3 linked regions of the Arabidopsis thaliana genome follow. The protein of the gene in region 1 interacts with the protein of each later gene in a pairwise test. Each region holds a gene or a part of one and is shown on either strand. Other genes may lie near its edges.

What was found. The genes of interacting proteins can lie anywhere in the genome.
Region 2: the proteins of SNL1 (region 1) and AT4G32620 interact in a two-hybrid assay, tested with the Arabidopsis thaliana proteins (one study listed by BioGRID).
Region 3: the proteins of SNL1 (region 1) and TRFL1 interact in a two-hybrid assay, tested with the Arabidopsis thaliana proteins (one study listed by BioGRID).

What each region holds. Positions count from the first base shown.
Region 1 is NC_003074.8:104,481-112,299, reverse strand, and holds the start of SNL1 (SIN3-like 1), read right to left. Parts: upstream 6,007-7,819; 5' UTR 6,005-6,006; coding exon of another isoform or gene 5,864-6,004; 5' UTR 5,571-5,863; coding exon 5,494-5,570; intron 5,341-5,493; coding exon 5,149-5,340; intron 5,062-5,148; coding exon 4,878-5,061; intron 4,788-4,877; coding exon 4,689-4,787; intron 4,620-4,688; coding exon 4,452-4,619; intron 4,363-4,451; coding exon 4,086-4,362; intron 3,897-4,085; coding exon 3,760-3,896; intron 3,681-3,759; coding exon 3,602-3,680; intron 3,520-3,601; coding exon 3,484-3,519; intron 3,387-3,483; coding exon 3,193-3,386; intron 3,119-3,192; coding exon 2,964-3,118; intron 2,891-2,963; coding exon 2,763-2,890; intron 2,642-2,762; coding exon 2,387-2,641; intron 2,242-2,386; coding exon 1,549-2,241; intron 1,469-1,548; coding exon 1,380-1,468; intron 1,151-1,379; coding exon 572-1,150; intron 507-571; coding exon 406-506; intron 315-405; coding exon 176-314; intron 83-175; and 1 more. Other genes in the region: AT3G01319 (uncharacterized protein), read left to right, coding at 5,864-6,004. UniProt on the Arabidopsis thaliana protein: Acts as a transcriptional repressor. A histone deacetylase (HDAC) activity is required for transcription repression. May play a role in telomere stability.
Region 2 is NC_003075.7:15,729,755-15,737,480, reverse strand, and holds the start of AT4G32620 (Enhancer of polycomb-like transcription factor protein), read right to left. Parts: upstream 6,034-7,726; 5' UTR 5,803-6,033; intron 5,598-5,802; 5' UTR 5,514-5,597; coding exon 3,243-5,513; intron 3,137-3,242; coding exon 1,568-3,136; intron 1,141-1,567; coding exon 885-1,140; intron 786-884; coding exon 259-785; 3' UTR 1-258. Other genes in the region: AT4G32610 (copper ion binding protein), read left to right, coding at 7,584-7,726.
Region 3 is NC_003074.8:17,150,861-17,156,773, reverse strand, and holds TRFL1 (TRF-like 1), read right to left. Parts: upstream 4,315-5,913; 5' UTR 3,691-4,314; intron 3,200-3,690; 5' UTR 3,133-3,199; coding exon 3,052-3,132; intron 3,028-3,051; exon of another isoform or gene 2,958-3,027; coding exon 2,393-2,957; intron 2,326-2,392; coding exon 2,182-2,325; intron 2,096-2,181; coding exon 2,033-2,095; intron 1,944-2,032; coding exon 1,864-1,943; intron 1,781-1,863; coding exon 1,584-1,780; coding exon of another isoform or gene 1,520-1,583; exon of another isoform or gene 1,497-1,519; coding exon 1,203-1,496; intron 1,136-1,202; coding exon 1,072-1,135; intron 1,002-1,071; coding exon 828-1,001; 3' UTR 534-827; downstream 1-533. UniProt on the Arabidopsis thaliana protein: Binds specifically to the plant telomeric double-stranded DNA sequences. At least 2 repeats of telomeric sequences are required for binding. Induces DNA bending.

The DNA.
Region 1 (7,819 bases):
CCCTTCCTGGTTTCCGGGATTTCTCATACTCATACAACTGAAGCAGCTTGTTGTCCATTTCATCGGCTACAATAGCTTGAAGCTGCAGATGGATAATATTAGAACATCACAAGGAAGGTAACATAATGTCGATAACATAAAAAAAATTGTCCTAAACCACTAGTGTGAGTAACACCTGCTTAACCAATCTGTAAATCAGTTTGTCCAACGTGAATAACACATATGATTGGTTTCCAATTATAGCTCTGCACTCATCCTCAAACTTGGTATTTTCAGCTGATCCATCTAGCAAACCATACAAAACCCTCATAAACCTGTACAACACACAGATCAGATTTTGATGGGAACAACATGTATATGATTATCTACATAGGCTAGTATAAAAAGTTGTACAAAGGAAGGTACCTCGCATAAGGATCTCCGGCATTGGTATCCTTTAAGTTTTTCGATTTCAGTTCACCGCCTGAGCAATTCCTTTTTGCATACAAAATTCTCTCGTACAGGATCTGAAAATGCACCACGTTATCTTTGCTAGAGAGAATCAATTTCAATAAATAATTAGGTAACTCACTTGGTGAAGCCTAAAAAGAACATAAAAGTCGTCATTCCCATAGAAAACTTGGAGATCTTTTGTTCTCTCATCGCATAAAACTGCTGCGACATGCTTTGAAAGGGGTCTGACGGATAAGAGAACACGTTCTGACTGTGGAAGCAGCTCACTTTCTCCTTCTAAGAGATGTGGATCCATTCCCTCCGCTTCTCCTTCACTCTCAGCTTTACCATCGATCTCATCATGCTCACCATTCTCCTCCTCTCTATCTTCGTCCTGAGAACATACGTCGCCACCAGATTCAGTTCCAGATGCCTCGGAAGCATTTTCACTATCAACATCGTCAGCATCGTCCTCATTCTCTACTTCAGCATCTGCCTCTACTTCAGCCTCTGCTGAATTCTCTGGTTTGGATGTGGACTTCACCCCATGATCTTTGTAAACACCAAAGTTGTCTTCAAAATCACCATTAGGTGACAGTTCACCTTCCTCTTTCTCATTTCTGGAGGGACCTTCGGGATCATCAGAATTCCTAGTACCTTTAGAAGAATCTGACCTTAATCCATTTGCCAAAACTATCGAATTGCCAACATCACCTCCCTAGTAATATGACAGAGTCAGAAGGGTCCGGAAAGCATAATTATAATATAAGACACATTTTAAATTTTTACACCCCTGGGTCCCATAGGTAGTACTGTAAATTTTTACATCCCTAAGCTATGGAAACCTCCAGGTAATAGTGGGTTTAGGCGAATATATAAATATGGTACAACGAGCAACTGAATGGTGTAAATATGGTACAACGAGCAATTGATTGTAGTACTAGTACCTGAGTCGAATGAACAGTTTCAATGCTATCTACATCATGATGAATATCAGTGAGGGTGTCGCTTGGTTTGGCTTGAATCTCATGTGCACCTTAATTGTAAAGTAACAAATATCAACACAAATAATCAAGCAGCACAAATAAAATTAAATAGCTTAAATCTGGAAGGCACCTGGCAAAACTTCCTTGCCTACTACACAATGATTGTTTTCTGCCCCACTTGGGATTGATATACTCGAGATGGCTGCTCTTTCGCTAATATCCATTGGGATAGGTTTTCCAAACCTTTTCTCGGCTTCATTTCCAGTTTCTTGTTCTTTCTGAGGTTTCACAGCAGAGCAGGCAACACCATCTCTGTTAGCTATTTCAACATCTTCAAGATTTTCTTTCCCTGTCGAATCTTTATTTAACAAACCTATCCCATGTTTGAATGTCCCAGATGAAGAATTCTCATCTCCATTGGCAGCAGATTTAAGTTTCCTAGAAGCCAACCTTGCTGTGTCTCCTCCAGAACTCACAGCAGCCTCCCCGTTAGGAGATGTGCTGTGATTCACATCGAGAGTCTTGGGGTTTATTACAACATCTTCAACAAGATCTGTGCCCTTGGCCCTGGGAGGAACACCCAGCACTGCCTCCAGGAAATTTTCCCAAAGCCTCAGAACTTTACTGAGCTGTTCTTTTGTAGAACATAACTCCTCACATGAAAACTGGACTACTTTGAACATGTCTTCATGAATAGCTCTGTTCAAATACTCATATTCAAGATTAGGATTTATAGGTTGTCTGTAACCAGCAGAAATAGACAACAGAACATCATCATCATTCTGAGACTTCTCTTTCAGCTCCTTAATTTCAGCCAACAATGCTGGTTCACGAAGCAATAAAAAAACAGAATGAGAAAGGAATAAGTGAAAGGAAAAATAGCACTGCCGGATGTATGTGAGCGATAAAACAGGATAAAGGAACTACTTGAATATAAATCTTCTTACGACTTCTATAAGTCTACTTACATTTTGCACTCAAGTTCTTTGAATCTTGTTGCTTGAAGTAGAAGCTGCGGTGATCAAGTGACTTGTAATGGTTTTTTGCATATACGTTCGCCCAGACCTTATCAAAATCGTCACGGCATTTCTTCCATTCACCTTGTTTCTGCTTTAAACGAGTTAGGATTACAGGAAGTGCAGTGGCTGGATTCTTATTTAATATGTCTATCACGTCAAGACCATGGTCGCCATAAAGTCGCTCAATACACCTTAAATTTAGGGCTGTAAATATGTCAATAAGAAAATGGTAAAGTTAATAACCAAACATATGAGGACACCTAAATAGGGGAAGAGAGAAGATATAACTACGAACTGTAAAATGGTCCCAAAAAAGCATACAGACCCGTAAAATGGTCTTCGATCCTGAAGGAGCCAGAAAAACTTATTTTCTTCTCTGTGATGATGTTCAACAAACTTTCTGCACTTCTGGCCGCAGAGCTCACAGATTCCAGCAACATGTCCAACTCAAATCTGTTATAAGCAGTAATTAACATAAATGACCAATTACTTCAAACTATAATATGTATGTTGTCAATATAAATACCTATCATCTTCGCATCTGAACAAGCTCTCTTCATATTGGTTTCTGCGCATGTGCTTAAAAGAATAATCTTCACTTCCGGAAGTGACAGATACCCAATGATCATTTAAAACCTCAGCTCCTAGCTCCGATCTCTGACTCGCAATTGGTATCGGATACTGCAAATATAATATTACAGTAAGTAAAAATCCAATGAACATGCTCAAAATGCAACTTGGAAATAGAAGCTTACATCCGCAGGCAGAAGCCGGTAGCTAGGAGTGCAACACTCGCAATCAGAGAGATCGAGCTCTTGAATAGATTTTCCCATGTACTCCTTCTTGCATTGCTCAGTTTCCTTCACAGCCTCGAGTTCAGGCTTGTGTTCACTTTCTTTCTCTTCCACCTTCATTGGCCTGGATAACTGTTCTTCGCTGCTAAATAATTCTGCCAAGTGTACCAGCAATGTCAGTAAAGATTTTACAAAGTAGGAGGGAAAGAGACAATATTATTCACAGCTGGGAAGTTTAAAATAGCAGCATACTTTTGCTCATAACACCAGCAAGACGCTGAAATCCATCTACAAAAAGAGGATGACCGTCAGAAAGAAGAAGATTGCTGATATGTAATAACTATTAAAATAACAATACGTATTTCAGTACCAGTAATACTCTCACACCGCTCGAAGAACTGGTTGAACTCATCCATCAGATCAGGAAATTTCCCAAGAAGATCAGAAACCTGAAAGAAAATGAATGGGATTTAATACAACTTCCTGAACGTTACCACAAGATCAACCCCTGATCACAAATTGCAATACCAAGTTTTGCAGATCCTTCCTTTGGATTATTCCATTGCTAAAAATATTGAGGCACTTCAAGAATGTCTGATAATCATCTTGGCTGCATAGTCTATCCTTGACTTTCTCACAGAAAACGAATGCTTGTTTGTACATACCTAACACAAAGTAAACATCTTAGAAAACAGAAGCAGATCTTCGCACCTTAAAGATCACCATGCAACCAAAATTGGAAAATAAATTCTCTCTCAAAGAGAAAGAATTAAGGTGTCCAATGTTTGGGACTCTTAAAAAATAGAAAAGGTACCAAGCAAATAAAAAAATGTTTGACACAGGAGTTAGCTTACTTTTCAAATTGTCTTTCTCAGAATGTGAAGCAGAACCAGAATATGCTTCAAGAGCTTCAGCTCTTCTGGACGACTTTCTTTTCTCTGGAAAATGGTGTAGGTTATCTTGACCTGCTTCTCTATCGTCCAAATCACGGCCTCTCCTTGCCCTGTTCTCCTTATCAAGGCGCTTCCGCTGCTCTCTTTGAATCTTCACCATCGTTTTATCATCATTAAGGTCATAACGTTCAACACTATAATCACCGCGGAGAGCAACAGCCCTTTCTCGTCGGCGTTCCTGGTGATAAAAAGTTGTAGCGGGAACAAAATTGAGATACGTGGCAAAAAATAGAACAAGGAAAAATATGAAACAAAGATCAAACGAACCTTTTCCACTTGCATTTGATGAAGTAGAGGAGGGTCTGATCCTCGGTCGCTGTACTGTTGAGCCTGACTCCGGCTATGCTGCGCTGCTGAATGAGATGGCAAAGACGCTGGCAAAAACCTAGTAAACTGTTCAAGCAAATCCAAGTGGCCTTGAAAAAGAATAGATACCTGGAGCATAGATATTCGAAGGTTAGAAAAAGTTTGGAGTGGCATTACAGGTGAGATGAAGTATATTACCTCGTTGTACACCTCTTTAATTTCCTTGTTCTCCTTTCGGTACATATTCAAGATTTCCAAGAAAGATTTATAGACATGTTCATCGTGCTTGAATCGCATCTGCAGTGAGAAAAAAGAAACTTGTACATTGAGACACAAGATGTAAGCGCACTTCAAAAGAGAAATATAAGACCAAGATTTCGACAGCACCTTAATTTTATTCACAAAATTGATGGCTTGTTCGAATTCAACAGTCTTCTTTGGCAGAGCGTCGTCTTCCTCAATAAGCGTAATTTCATATCCCTTAGGCAAAAAGGTGTTGAATCCATAAATCAAATTATTATGTCCCTTAAACAATTCCTTAACTCTTGCGATCACACCGCCTGTGTCGGTTCTGAAAATGCAAGACGAAGAATTAATACAATGCCGCCTACTAAAACTTACTTGAACTTTGAAGTCGATAGAGAGTGAAAGAGCTAACCTTTGAGCCTTAAAATCTTTCATAACCTCGAGGAACCTGTCATATTTCTCGCGTTGATCTTGAAACATCTCTTTTACTTCCCTCAGGTACGACAACGCATCATTGGTTGTCAATTTCTGAGAGACTCTCCGGCTCCCTCCTTCTTCTTCTTCTTCGGTGTCACCACTGCCGTGGACCGGAGATTGTCCACATCTGCACCAAATCATCTCTAATCGATTACTTAAAACTACTCAATTCATAACAAATATTTGTCACTCTCCATGCAGAATTATAGAAAACCTAATCGCCACAAAACAGAACCAAGATCAAAACCGAAATTTGAAGGGTGAATTTAGAGAAACTCACAATTGGCCTCGAGAAGAACCAAGAGGACGTCTAAATTGAGACCCAGAGGCATATACATCATCTCTTATCCGCTTCATCACAAGTTAATTAACGAAGCAGAGGATCAAAATTCCCTCCAGAGGAAAAATATGTATGAGACCTACTTTCTATCACTCTCGAGAAAACATATGTAGTAGATGAAATCAGATACTCAGATCTCTCAAAGGAGAACAGAATCGTTAAGAAGCGCTTTGATCACCGGCAATCATACATAGACAGAGGAAAATTCCGGCGAGACTCCAAATTCTCCGGTTTAACACACTAGACTGAATATGAATTGCGATGATACTGATAGGAGACGAGAAGTAGTAGAACGCAGAGTCGAAAACGAATGAAGAAGACGGAGAATTTCAGAGGAGTTTGCAACAAAGACGCTGAGAATTTTCGAATAAGGAAGGAGAAAAAGGCGGAGAGAGATTTTGCATTCTGGGGTCTCTTCGATGTTTCACTTTCTCTGTGTGTTTGCTGCTAACTACTGGTAAATTGGTAACTTATCTTTTATTCTACTTCAATTTGGGCCGGACACTCAAATATCTATTGGGCTTTTTAAAATAATAGGCCCATTTATCAAGAACTCTGTTTGGTCGGAAAAAATTGTGATGAATTTTTCATATAACAAGAAAATATATGTACAGATTTGCGTCAAGCATTGAACAAAATTAAGCACGAGCCGAAGAACCGATACATTGTCGGAAAAGTGATGATAAACCACAAGCGAGTTTGTTTCGTGTAGAAGATGAGATGTCTGGTCCTCTACGTATTTCAGAAAAGTATGGAGGTGGTGATGAAGAAGATGACGAAGAACTTGATTTCTGTGATGGATTTTTATCTTCAAGATCATTACTATTTCTTCCGGTTTGTTCTAGATGATTTTGAAGAATTGCTCCATTTTTTTGATCTAAGATGAATTGATCACTCCAAATACGACCCGAAGAACCTTGACGTCGGAACGAAACAGCTGATCTTTGTAGCGATGTCATTACTTAAGTTTTGAATCTTGTTACGATTATATCTTCTTTAATACCAAACTTATTTTATTCTATCAATTTTGTTGTGTGTTTGTTTCTTTTGCGTATGTATGAAGCTATTGTTTCAAGTGTTTGAACTTGTTTAAAGATAAAATGAACAGAATTAGTTGAGTTTGAAATTAGATTTTATCCAGTTTTGGATTTACTACAAAACATGCTAAATTAAGCTTAAAAGTTTATATCTACTCCCCAAAAAAAGGATATAAATTTTGATCTTGTCTTCCATTAAAATAGGATCCAATGACTTCAAGCCTTAAATAGATGTAGATTTTCTTACAAATTATTTTGTTCCAAGTACATATTTTTTTTTAAAATTAATATTTTGTTTTTTCTTGAATCAAACCAAAAATGAGAAGTTGTAAATTTTCAGTCAAGCCCATCCATATAAGCTAATTGAGTATTGGTTTGGGGTTTTTATGGGTCAAAAGAGGTTTATTATAATGGGCCTTATGAAGCTCATATACGACCCATAAGCGTTAGGGTTTTCCTCGAGAAACCTAAGAATCGCCGCCATTGGGGACCTTTATATACAAACCACACATGACTTTGACAGACATCAAGCTCTTATCAAGTCAGTTTAGGGTTCTCTGTTCAAGTTCGTATTTTATCTTCAGTTTAGTTTTCTTTAGATCTTTGGTTTTCGAGTTATGATGTATTGGTCCGTATAGATAATGCAAAATTGAGATCAGGTGATGAGGTAATACTGCAACAATATGATGGAGTAATCTTTGTGATTATTAGTATTTAAGTCTCTGATGATCTTAATCGTTTTCAACTAGATCTTTTTCGATTTGATTTTCTTCTGTTTTGATTGTTTTGTTTGAAACGAGAGATATGATGATCAACAAATTGGTCCGTGTTTCAGATTAACCGTGACCGAAAAAATTCTTAACCAAACTCTGATCTCTCTTCTTTTCTTTCGATTTTTTAGTATTTTCCTTCAAATTTCGTTTTGGATAATTTCTTCTTCTGCGGTGATGATTTTATGAGAAATTCACATGTCAGACTTCAGAGATTCTTGTAATCTATGAGAATAAATTCATATATCTGAGCAGAAGATTCGAATTATAAAAGACTCACACATATACATTGACCGTTTACAGAGATGGAATCATAGAAACAAATAGAACAGTTTGATTTATTTAACCAAATAGTTCAATTAATGGAAGAGGTTCAGAATCTGGTCTTCGGAGTTGTCATACTATTTAGAAATCTGGTCTTATAATCTGAACAATCCTAATCCCACGGTTCAACAAACT
Region 2 (7,726 bases), on another chromosome or scaffold:
AACCTACTAAGAACATTCCCAGCCGATGGGTACATGAGATCAAGTTTCAGAGTCCCAGTTCGGTGTTATTGCTGCATCAAAATATAGCTTACTTAAAGCAGAGGGAGGCAAATTTCTGTACAGTGGAGCTCATCTGGGTCGTTTTTTAATTCGTGTCAAGACCAGCTCGTGTGTTGAACAGGACATGTCGAATCACTATCTCTTCTTTTGCTCAAGAGGTGACAATACCCAGACTTAACAAGAGTGGTATCTATTGACTCATCCTTCGCTTGAGCTTTCTACCCCATTGTTGTTGCCTAGGTCCTCGGAAGAAGCTTTAACTGCCTCTGCACACATGAGAGCAGCTGCAGCTTTCTGGATCGCTAGATCTGCTTTGTACCTCAAACTCTCTGCTCTTTCCCGCTTGAGCTTCGCCAAAGCGCATGCTCGCCTTGCAGCACCAGCTGCATCTCGCAATTTGTACTCATCAATGTCTGTACTATTCCGTATTCCTTCCACATCAGGACGCTGAGATCCGTTGGAGTAACAGACAAGATTGGAACTGGGGCATTCAGAATAGCCTGCATCCCATCGTTCACTCGTATTCCTCTTCCCATTGATTCTTTGCGACTTGTTTTGGTGATTCCTATGATATCCATTTCCACCGCTCGAGAAATATCCCATGCCTAGGTCACGAGGGGAATATGTTCCTGGATGTACAGAAAATTCATTCGAGTGCTCATAGCTTTGATTTGAATATAAAAACCTCTCGTCGCCAGAGACAAAACCAACAGGTCTTCTTCCTGCTAGAGAAATGGAAAAGTTGGATTAAACACAGACTTCATTTTGAAAAATCAGAGTCAATAGAGGATTTATAGAATATCAAGCAGGTAAAAACGAGTTACCTGATGAATTACAGCCATCATAATCTCCCAAAGCAGAACTATGTTGAGCATAAACTGAGAGTTTCTTCTGTGACCTGTGTTTTGTTCCCCTGTGTTTGACTTCCAAACCTCGAGGCTTAAAACAGAAAGCAAACATCGCTGGCTTCTCAGTAGGTGACTGTTTCTTCTGCGACCCACAGGAATTTGGAGTGTTTGCTTTGCTCATAACCAACTCCCAGTCTTTGAGCTCCCTTTGATATTTTTCCCATAGAGGTGGCTGAATTGCAAGGGTAGAAAACAAGTGTTTACGTTAGGCAAAATTAAAAATATTGCAGCAGAGTAACTACATTATTGTTGAGCTAGCAAGTAAGACTAATCAACAAGGAGTAAAATCAACAGACTATAGAAGATGCTACAGTTATGGACTTCCAGACATCTTCGTGCACAACAAACTGGAATGCAAAAAGATGCAATTTTCCCCCTAATAGACGTTCCATTTGCATAAAACACCCACATCATTCAATATCCTGAAAAGAACACTAAGTAATACCTACTACTAGACATAGCCTTATTGTCCACAATTCTGCATTTCCCCCGATTCCAAAAAGATCTATGTTGAGCCTAGTCATGCAGATTTTTAAATCTCAAGAAAAACATGAAAACCAAATAAATAATAAAAGATGAAAAGGCATCAGAGATTGTACCTGAAGATGCCTGATCAATGGCATTCCCTTCCTCTGCCTCTTTGTTCTCCAAAGCTCATATATTGTTTCCATTGCTTCCAAGGATCCAACTCCAGCCGTCAATTCTTGAATTTCGATTAAGGTAAAGTTATCACGCTGCTTTACAAATGAAGCCTTCTCAAACATGTCCATTGCCTTCTCAAACATGTCCTCAGTGATCTCACAAGAGCCACTATTCTCAGCACTCGAACACTCACGAATTCTCAAAAGGCACTGCTCATCATCGCTGTCCATGTCATACATAACACGTGAAGGATCTAATGCCATCTCAACATCAGTTTCAGTCTGCCGAAAATATTTAGAAGAACTGCGAATAAATTCAGTTTCTGTTCCATCAAAATTATCCCTTTCTATCATGCGGATGCCAGGAATAGGAATATTTCTAACTAAAGCAGCCCGAGTATTTCTATTGTAGCACTCTTCATGCATCTCTTTAAAAAGGAACCACTGGCCCCTATCAGGGAACTCCAAGGTCCAATCTTTTCCACCTTTCCACATCATAGCATGTGTAAACCTATTCACTGACCCAGGTTGCAGAAATTGATGTGCCCTGTGTGAGTATTTTGTTGTCCCTGAGATTTTTACCGCAAGTCTCCATTCATTATTATCAAAAGGTTCCAGGAAAATCTGAGCTCCATATTCTCGCCAGCCTCTATCACCAAGAGTGACTAATACATTGGCATCACATAAACTAGACTCGAGATCTTTCTGAATACCTTTGGTAACATCAGCGGTAGACCTTCTAATTCTTTTGTTCGGCATCCCCTTGAGCAGGGAACCTTTGTTTCTAGAATCAGAACCCCCAGAAGGCAATGAATAAGACACTTGGGTACGTCGCTTCTTAGGTCCATTTGCCAAATTAGTGTTCAAAAAGTCTCCCTTTGAATCCGACCAACCATGCGAGAGATGGCCATTTAAAGAACTTTTACTTCGGTTCCACATACTTCTTGGGGCAGTGGCCTTTGGACTTGAGTTGCTACTACCTTGAATATTCAAGGCCAGATTACTTGACTGCGGAGTACCATCCTCACAATCATCAGATATTGGAACTTGAATACTAATCCCATTCACCGAAACATTAGACCTGGTTTCATGCTTATGTCTGACAACAGAAGAACTGTATGACATCCAGTTTTCAGAATCAGACCCCAGCTGCTGACTTTGAGACGGAGTATGAAGGTCTTTTGACTCTTGCGCTCTGGAAGAAGTGATAATTGGTTCATCAGTTTGGCTCTTACTCTTGAGAGACAGTTCAGAATGCTCATTTGTAAAATCTGCCATATCACAACCTCTATGTGTTACCAAATCGCGTTCTATTCCTAGGAAGTCTGCTGAATCATGACCCAGCTCCCTTATCATGTTCAAGTGTAAACTGAGTAACAGTGTAGGTGGCCGAGCAGTAAAAAGAAGTGCAAATGGAGACGTATTTTGCTTCTTGTAGCAAACAGATGTGGGCCACGCTTCAGCAGATGATGATCCTCTAGAAACAAGGCCTGAGCTGATTCCATGCCTAGATCTCTTCTGCATAACCTGATGTGCAAGATTAAAAAAAAAAACGAATTGGTATGAGATAATAGAAATAAAAGTATAACCAACGAAGCAATGTACCAGAACATTCATTAAAGAATCACTGTACCTTCTGCAGGACCTTCATGTTATTGTGAGTACACTCTGCAATTGATACTTGCTTAACCAGCAAAGAATGTCTCCTGACATTCTGTTCCAAGTATGACCACTTTGAATGTTTCACCTCATGGAAACTGTAGATTTGAAATCCAAGCTGCCTTTGGAAACCTGGGATGCAAGAAACTTGGAGACCAATTGAGAAAACTGGCAACTGCAAGTCAGCATCCGCTCCTTGTGCTCCTTGCTTATTAGAATGATCTACTACCATCAAGATACGGAAAATCAATTGAACAACTTCCATTAAGCAGCCTTCAAAAATTAGATACCTTAACCCATCTTGGTTATTCAGGAAAATCATTTCCAAACGAACTCTTGGCCACAAAGTCACAAGTGTACCATGACGAAGCAAAAGAGCAGCACGTGAAAGCCAGTCAACATCGGCCATAAGAAAGTAGCTCATCAAGGAAACACCCTGTAGGCTGAGGGACAACTCAAATTGCTCTGATTCATTCCACGGGCAACAAAGCTCCAGATCCCCAGAATCTTCAATAGGCAAAAACTCTACACCAGGATCCGGACTTTTTGATACAAGAAACTGCTTCAAAAACTCAACACTATTGTAACCTGACTCTTTGTAGATATCCTTCTTTGCTGTATGAAGTCTTCTCCTACAATAGACAATAGGAAATATGCTACCATTCCGAAAACCAGAGCTTTCCAACTCGTTTTTACTTGGTCCAGGTAATCCACATGATGCAAGAGAACTAGCCGATCTATCTGTGACATCCCCATTCATTTTAACAGATTCATTAGATGTCATTACGTCAGTTTTTTTCCGCTTTTGTACAGCCTTAAGAGTGGAGGATTTGTCCCGATGTCTAGACCGAGCCAACCATGTGATGATTGGCTCTGATTCCATGCAGCTATCATCTTCTAGCTTTTCCTTCTGCTTCTCCTCGTCTTTGCTGGAAGTATCATTCCCTTTTACTTTCTGAGTAGACTTTGACTCTGAACAACGCCTTTTCCGCTGATTTTTTCCAGGAACTTCAGAAGGAAACAACAGAATTTTGAATCTTTCACCCTGTAAGTTGATCCACTCCTCATCACGATCATCATATTTTACATGATGCAGGTTCTTGTCTCCATCGAAACCATCCACAAACCCATGATACCATCTCTCATCCAATGGCCAGAAAACTTTAATCTTTTTGTTTAACAACCAGTGTGAATCCACATCTGAAAACAAAATTTCATAAAAGTGGCGTCTTTTCCGAACTTTACCCTTCCCATCATCATTATGTCTCCTTGGTCGCAACATTCTATCATCAGTGTCATCTGAGACACATTTAGAACTAAGCAACTCGGACCGAGGATCAACTGAATTCTTACCAGAAGGCAATGGATGCAATCTACTCGCAGATGGTGAACCAGGAGTAACAGAATTTGAAGGAAACTGGGTACAGTTTGGATCAAACCGTGAAGACAGCATTATTGCAGCATTAGCTTCAAGATTCTCCTCATCATCTTCCCGTGATACCTTGGATATTCTACCAGAAGCATCACCTGAAGACTTGGCCTCTTTTCCCACGCGTCTGTTTGATGCTGAGGACTTCCTTTTTCTGCTGTTACTATTTCTTTGTTTAACAACAACCAGCTGATCATCTTTCACTGGAGACTGATTAGAATGCCCATTTTCCAACTGCAACGGAGCTGCGGAATTAGATTCTTTGATATCTTTGTCAGAGTCCTTCTCTTCAACTTTAGAGGGTTGATCCTGAACACTAGATTCTTCAGCAGTAACCTTAGGGATATTAACAACCAGCTCCTCCTGACTATCAGACTCCCCTGCAGACTTCTGTGCTAGGCCATTCTCAAACCTACTCCTCCCAACAAAATCTCTCCTGCGTCTAGGAACATAAATCGTACTACTTGCCAAACCAACAGAAATCACTTGAAGCCCATTACTGTCACACAATTTCTCATCCAAACCCACCTCCTTGGAGTCCTCCAAATTGTGCAATATAGTGGTGCCATTGCATGCCTTATCCAGAATACTCTCGTTCTGGCTACCTACTTTCTTAAAACTACTTAGAGAAACAACTTTCCTGCTCTTCTTGTCCTGCTTCAACTGATCACCATCAATCCCAGACCTATGTTTTCTTTTAAAGCTCTTATTCACTGAATCCTTGGAAATGCTAGACTTATAGAGCGTCTTAAGATCTAAAGACCTGGATTTCTTCGAAATTCCCACTCCATTAGAGTTACCTAGTCTATTTTCCATGAAAGCCACCTCGAACCAATACCCAGAATCAAAAGCCAGCAGGTCTCAAATTCCATCATATACGCAAGCAAACATTTTTCAGATCTGTGACACCAAAACCAAACCCAGAATCACAAAAAGTACCCAAAGTATGATAAAAGAAGAACACACAAGTCACCCAAAGAAACAGATCAAATCCCACTTCAGGAAAAAACTTTGCATTGAAATCCAAGCAATTGTTTTTTCAACAATCAAGCAAAATTTAACTGCAAAAAATTAAAAAAAAAAAGAGAGAAATTTGCATGCCTACCTGCATCACTTTATCAGACGAAATCGAGTCTCTTAAGGACCTTTATAGTCGCCACAATCCCAAAATCAAAATTAGGGTTTCGGTAAATCGGACTGCGAATCGGATCCCTAAATCAAACAATCGAAAATTTCCCAAAAGTATTCGTTCAATTTAGCCGAAAATAAAAAAAGCAAAATTTGCTTCTTTTTTTTTTCTTTTTTAACCGGGAGAAACGGGAGAGCTAGGGTTTCGTCTGGTTCCGCGAGAGTAAGGTTTTTTCAGTTATAAAGAAAACATATTCCAAATAAACATCGTATCACGGGTACCGTCCGATGGAGACGCGTTACTATATCTACGGTCCATATTTAGTTTCGAAATAAGCACTAAATTTTTAACTCTGCAACAGAAAAGATATAATGGACGTTCGAGATTCTCAGCTGCGAAATATTTGTTTGGACGGTCAGGATTTAAAGATTTCTTCAGAGAGAATAATTTATTGTTGTCACGTGTGTTGCTAACCTACCGCAATCTTGTGTTTGTCCACCTAGCCAACAATTGTTAGAGACATCATTCAACTTAACAACTATTATTACTAGAATACTAGGGGATAATTTAAGTATAAAATCATCACATTACAGTATTATCTTTTTAATAATTTATATATATATATATATATTATTGTTATTTTCTTTTAATATATAAACTTCATTCATCCATTAGCTTAACAATTTTCCAATATTTTGTAAAAATATATATATACATATTATTAGGAGTTTTCGGACCATATTTAAGTATTAGTGTATTACTACCTTATTATGTGTTTAAATATATATTTTTATTAAATATAGACATATAGCAAAAAGAATTAGTAGTAGAGAGATTGATTGGAATCAATTTTTGATTAATTATATAGTGTAAACTAAGCTTTAAGAATATTTAAAAAATAGATTTGGTTTCCTTATAAATATGAATTAAGGTCATTATTAACGTATCATAAGATTTAGAGCAATGTATAAACACAAGAAGAAAAACAATAAAAGTTCAGAAATTCCTTTTTCGATTCAAAAATACGTTAAAAATTGACAAAATATTTTGGCGGGTGGATTGTATATTGGAACCCAAAATTTGCTTTTTTAATACAGAAAAATAAAATAAAATTGGCTTAATTGGAAAAACTAATATTGAGTTCATAAACCAAATTAAGGTTTAATTAGACAGTCTAATCCAATGTTCGGTTCAATTTTGTAATCAAATGTTCGGTTCAATTTTGTAATCAAATGTTCGGTTTGATGATCCATAAGAGAGGAGATAACATCCCAAATAGAGACAGATCCCCTTCCCTTGTCGTGTAGCCCAGTAGCTCTAATCGCTACGATTGCTACACACCACATCCCTTAAGAAAACCCTAATCATCTCTCTCTCGCATTCTATAGGAATCGCTTCCCGAAGCTTCCAACATTCTCTTGTTTCTCCTTTGTCTCTCAATTTCAGTTTCCTATATTATACGCTTGTATTAATCACCAGTATACATTTTGTCGTTTCTGGGTCTGGAACCCTAGTAGTTATTATAGCATCCATCGCTTTCTTCAATCGCCGTCCATCAGAGTTTCAAGGGATTTGCTTTAAAGATCAATCCTTTCCTAAGAAAATAGCGACAATTCATCAGCTTTTCCTTTCCCATCCTTCATTACCTTAACTTACTCGAGATTCATCTTCCAGCTGAAATTGTGAAACTTCGTTTCTGGGTTTTTATCAGAAAACACTCTGTGACTTATTGTGTGGTGATCGAGGAAAGAAAAAAGATGGTTGGTGGTGGAAACAGGAGAGATGAGGGATCGATGCCGATTCAGAACACCAACTTGTTTGCTGCTTTGGATACTTCGAGGAAGAAGAAGAAGTCTGATAAGGCTGGTAAGAGCAAAGCTTCCTCTAAGAGAGAAGATTC
Region 3 (5,913 bases), about 17 Mb from region 1:
TAATTTTCTTGCTGCGTCAAGTTGCTAAATATATTAGTTTTAAATCGGTAAATATATCAGTCATCATAACTTCTAATAAATTGAACGTTATCCTCTATTATCTCGTCCAGGTCCAAATGTAAACTTCAATATCCTTTTGATTTTATTGCTAATTGCTTTAAATTTTTTCACAAACTCCAATATTCAATGAAAGGCAACAGTTCAGTGAAAAAAAAAAAAAAAAAAGTGGGAAGAGCTTGCCTACTCAATGCTATCTGCAAATATTTGCGAACTTTAGTTCAACATCGACTTCTTTACTGGTTAGAGATCCAGGATTTTGTGCCTTTGTTTGTGGCTATAGCCTTTAAAAGAGGCTTTGAGACCAGCTTATTACTCTGAACGACCCGTATTTAAGGTAAATACCATAGCACACATACCACTCACAAGCACAAGCTTCTGTGTATTCTTTCCTAATATAGGACACATGTGAACCATAAACTGACCAAACATAGACCAGCTTGAGTAACAATTTATCCAACAATTGAATTCTCCAGCACTCCTAGAGTTTGGATGAGGTATATATATATCAGTTCGTTGTCGTTGTGATATGATAGGCCGAGCCATAAATCATATAGACAGAATAAAAATGTCACCAAAGATTTACAACAAATCCTTTACATTGTTAGAAAAAACCCAACCTTATTTCCAATTATAAAACTTTACATTTGAAAGAAAGAAAAAAAAAAACAAAGAAGAACTGAGACCAGATCTTCAACTATGTCAGAATCTTACAATATGGATCATCATAATAATACACAAAGGTTCTTTAGACCAAGAACCTGTTCAGATTAGAGAGCCTCTACCTGAGTGGATGGTGGCTCAGTCTGCAGTTGATGCATTAGGTGTTGTGACCAGTAAGCGTGTGCCTTCAAAACACGGTCCAGAAGTTCCTGTGGCACCGGCTCTCCTCTCCGCTGTTGTGGAGATATCCTTGCCGTGTGGACCAGCGTCTTCCACTTATCCTACAAAGGCAAAGACTCAATACCAAACTGTATATATTAAGGTTAAGAGTTAGTTAAAAAACTAACTAACCTTGAGATCAACATAGGTACGATGGTCTGCGTCCTCGAAAGCACGAACCTTCACATCTCTCCACCTGTAGTTTTCAAACACATTTTGTCAGCAACATGAAGAAGAGAAAGTGCTATTTCTTTGTTTTGTACCTTCCGGTTCCGAGTTTCTCAACGGCTTGGACCAGTGCTTCTACTTCAGTAACTGAGAAAGGTCGACGAATTCTGCGTTGTGCAGCTAGCTGCTGCTCAGTCCTTTTAAACTTACGGTTAGGAGGCCGAGGAGCCAGCATTGCTGCTGAGGCAACAGGAATCAAAGCTCTAGAATGATCACTTGTGCCTAGTTTCCCAAATGAGTCAGCTGGGGATGGTTCTGGCTCATGACTAGAATCCAACGCATTGTCGTGGCATAACGTCACATCATCACAGGCATGATCTGACAGATAACTGGCAGAGAGAAAACAAGGCCCTTAAGCCGCAAAAGATTGATTTTTTATCGATGTGGCATCTCTGAGAGTGAAGAGAAGAGTGAACCTGGATAACAGTGGTTGAGGGGTGGTCTCTAAGCTAGGTTCAAGGCTGAAACCAAGAGAATCCAAGTGGTTGTTCTCCTCAGAGATCCCAGTCTGAAGAAGAGTTTTGCCATCATCTCGGACTTTCTTTCCTTGAACCATCAGCCCGACTCGAAGTCCATCACCCAGTATGGTGGTCACTGCTTCCATCACCATCCGCTGACAACCCCGACATTACAAAAATACAAATATAAGTTCTTCTTGATCAGGATTTTCAGCACAACTAGGTTTTGTTATTACACCTTCAAGGAGCCAACAGTAGCAGTTTCTGGAATCTCTACGAAAAGCTCAGGCACCCTAAAAGACTTGATCCGCAGCTTCACTAAAGAGTAACAAAACAAAACAAAAATATTTCAACGAAACAATAAGCGAACAAAGGATAGATTGAGACTTGAGACTCCATTAAATTACCATGATGATCCCTTGACACAAAGGACGCATTTCGACTTTTCATGGAAGATATTGTTCTGCTTCCTGCGGATGAATTTGCAAAACCGTGTTACAACAGCAAAGACTTACAACATACTAACAAGAGAATGAGAAGATTACAAGTTTTGGACCTTTATGAGTCTTTCCTTGCAAACGGTAATCATCAGAGTTCGAGTCGTAAACACTGTCAAAGTATTTCCTTTTCTTGATGGGATAACTCCTCTGATGATGGTGCAAGTAATAACTCCTCTTTGAGCAATACCATGGCTTTGCATCTGCAAATACCAAACATCAAATCACAATAATAAAGATAGTCAAAACTAAAACAAAAGGCGATTTTACCTGTGTTGTTCTTCGAACCTCCTTTCCAATGTCTAGATGCCAATATCTTCCTAATTCTTCTGTCTCCAATACGAGGCACAGGCCTAGTCATACGAGTTCGAATGTAACCCGAAAAGTTTTCATCATCATCATTTCTACTAAACAAATTTACATCATCCCGAGACTCGTTGGGACTACCGTTCCCACATGCTCCCACCTCGGTACTACTGTTACTACCTATACTAGCTACAACATCAGGCTTTACATCACCACTCACACCCAAACTACTAAAACCCTCCACCTCCTTTCCTACTTTGTCACCTACCAACAAGTGATTAGGATTTGTTATCACAGAGCTAAATCCACACTTGCCATTGTCAAATAGGCTCGGGGATTCCGAATAAGGAACCGCCTTTACGGGGTTTTCATCAGCCGGGTATTCATTCTTTACAGTATTTTGTACAACTAGACACGCGTTTACCGGACTTTTGCTCTCGAGAAGCAAGCTTCCAGCTACGGTGGCCAATAAGTCAATCGCGCACATCTTATCATCTCCTGGTATCTTCTTTTCGTAAATGCGCTTCTTCTAGCAAAAATGTGAACAAACATGCGAGTGATCATTCATGTAACTGATAAATTCTTTAACAGCTAAACAGAGAATATAGCAAAGGGTCATTTACCCGGAGTGATCTCGGAGCTCGAGCTTGAGCAGGTAATTTGTAACCATCATCTCCAAATTCTAAGACTTTATGTGACACCATTACTTGGATGCATAACACAGATGATGTGATTGCCACAAGCGATAAGCAGCGAATAAAACTCACCAATCTGTAGTATATAAGAAACAAGAACCATAAGAAGACTCAATTCAATTCAAGAATCACAGATCGGTAATATCAAATCAAATCTGATAAACCATTCTAAAACCCTAATAAACACAAGATCCGAATTGAAGAACACAAAACGTAATTCAATTATAAAAAAGCTTCGATCTTTGAATTAAAGGATAAACAGATCAACTTAGAACAAAAAGAGAGACACTTTCAAATTCTCAGATCGGAGTTCACAGATCGATGAATGAGATGATTCTGATCATATAAGAAAACGAAAAATTTCAATCGAAGATGATGATAAGTTCAAAAAGATAACAAAAACCCTTTTAAGATCCAAACCAAAAGAACTTGAATTTGAAAATTCCAAATCTAAATTCACATAAAAAATGAATTTTTACTAAGTTTCTCGATGATCAAACAAACACAAAAACTTTTGACAAAATCGAGAACACAAAAACCATCAAAAAAAGTTTAAATCTTTCTCACCTTTCGATGAATCTTCAGTTCCAAGACAATATAGATATCTGAAATTTTTGACAATTTCTCCAGAAAAATGAGAGATCGGAGACGAAGGAATCAGAATTCTTTACGCACTTAATCTAAAATCTTTTCCCCAGTTTTTCCTCTAACCCATGTTTTTTTTACCCAAGAAAGTGATGGAAATTTTTTTTTTTTACTTGTATCAAACGTTACCTATATGATTTTTTTTTCCTTCAACACAAAGGATTTTATCAAATCTCTCTTTTTCGATTACCAAATTATAAACAAAAACCCTTATAAGAAGAACACGACCACGTCTTTCTTGCTTAAACCCCCATAGCCATATAACTCAACCAACCACCGGAGCTACCGGTATTACCAGACCCGTTGTTACCGGTTATAGCAAGTAAAACATTCACCTAAAGACTCGTTGCTTTTCCATGGTCGATGGCCCACGACACACTCGTAACTCGTTAAGTCCTTAGATCTTGACACGTGGTACTGATGTAGTCATCACATGGCTTTGGTTCGTAGCCTTTTGAGTAAATTTCGTCTTGTCATGATAATAATATTAACAAAAAAAAGAATTTCGGGAAAGGAAAAATGTATTTTTGGGTTTATGAGTATTATTTTTAGTTTATATTTGGAATATTCGTTTGTGCTTTTATGTTTTCCTTTTGTATTTTAATATTTTTATTTTTGAGGTTTTTCTTAATAGGAAGAAAATGATAAAATTCCCATAAATATATATATATATATATTTTTTTTTTTGGGCAACATTCCCATAAATATTTATGTTTTAGGAATCACGTAAAAGATAAGATGGTCCCTAGTTTGCTATATTGTATAATTATGAGGTAGTCGATTCATATTAAATGATATTAAATAAAACTGAATATGGTATATGAATTTCATAGTTTTAAAAGAAACATACTTCTTCCGTTTTCATGTTTTAGAACAAAAGTTTTGTATTATTAGATAAGTGTTTAATTTTTAATACAATACTAATTAGTTATTTGCTTTTAATGATTTATATTCTGTAAATTTTTATACTGAAAGAACCGTGTTTTTAGGTAGATAATAAATTACATTTTGATTTCTAAATAAACCAAACAAAATTAAAAGGTAATTTATGTACAAAAACCTTTAACATCATATTAAAATATATATATATTTGTAAAAAATTTATTTTGAAAATAAATGAAAATTTAATAATAATATGAACCATTTTACATAGTAAATGTGACAAGAAAACTAAAACGTAAAGATTCGTTCTCGATCTATAATTGAGTATGTGGGATTCTTCTCCTCAACTATAGCAAAGAGCGAGTTTGTCTTCAAGAACTAATTCAGTGTTTGAATTTGTTGTCAGCTCTAAGTATTGTTCAAATATTTCTCTGTACACTCTCATAATTTCATTTCATACGTCGATTTCTCTAACGTTTCACTCACCATTTTTTTTTTTTTCGTCACTCACCATTTTAATAAATCTGATAAGGGAACGAGTTTAAATTTAACAAAAGCTGAGAAGAAAAAAAAATCAAAAGTCAACATTTACGTTCAAGTTTCAAAATATTATATCCTGTGTTGGACACAAATTATTTTTTTTAGCCCCACAATCATTAATTTGAAAGAAAAAAAAAAAGGCCTACCCCTTTTCCTAAATTACAAATAAAATAATTATGTCATCTTATCCTATCTCGAAAAAGTTCGAAAGGATAAAAGGTGGGTGGTTTTGAATTTATATCATACGAACACCACCGTTCAATATTAAATCTGTTGGAGAGAAAAATAAAAAGAATATTCTAATATGCATACAACCAAACATTTACGCAATTTCATGCATAGAATAGTAAATACGTAATAAGAAAAAAGTACTGTATAGTTTATGTGTTTTTGAGGATTTAAGTATGATGGTAAAATTTGATAGACTTGTCAGTAAAAAATTTAGCTCAGTAAAGAGAATTAATCAGGTTCATTTTCTTATATTATATGTGATCTGGTCCAGTTAACATCTAACATTTGTACAACCCAGAGAAACATTTAACTTTTGTTATGGTTTTTTAATCTTTTTGAAGGGACATCACAAATAGTCGATGAACTTTTCTAAATTTAAAGTCAGGATGTTAAATACTTTTTCTTTGAGATAACAATTAACCAGTCAAAATAATAAGGGTTTATCCGTTAGCTTTGTCAATACGAGCTTTATTATATTTAAAAAGCTAAAAT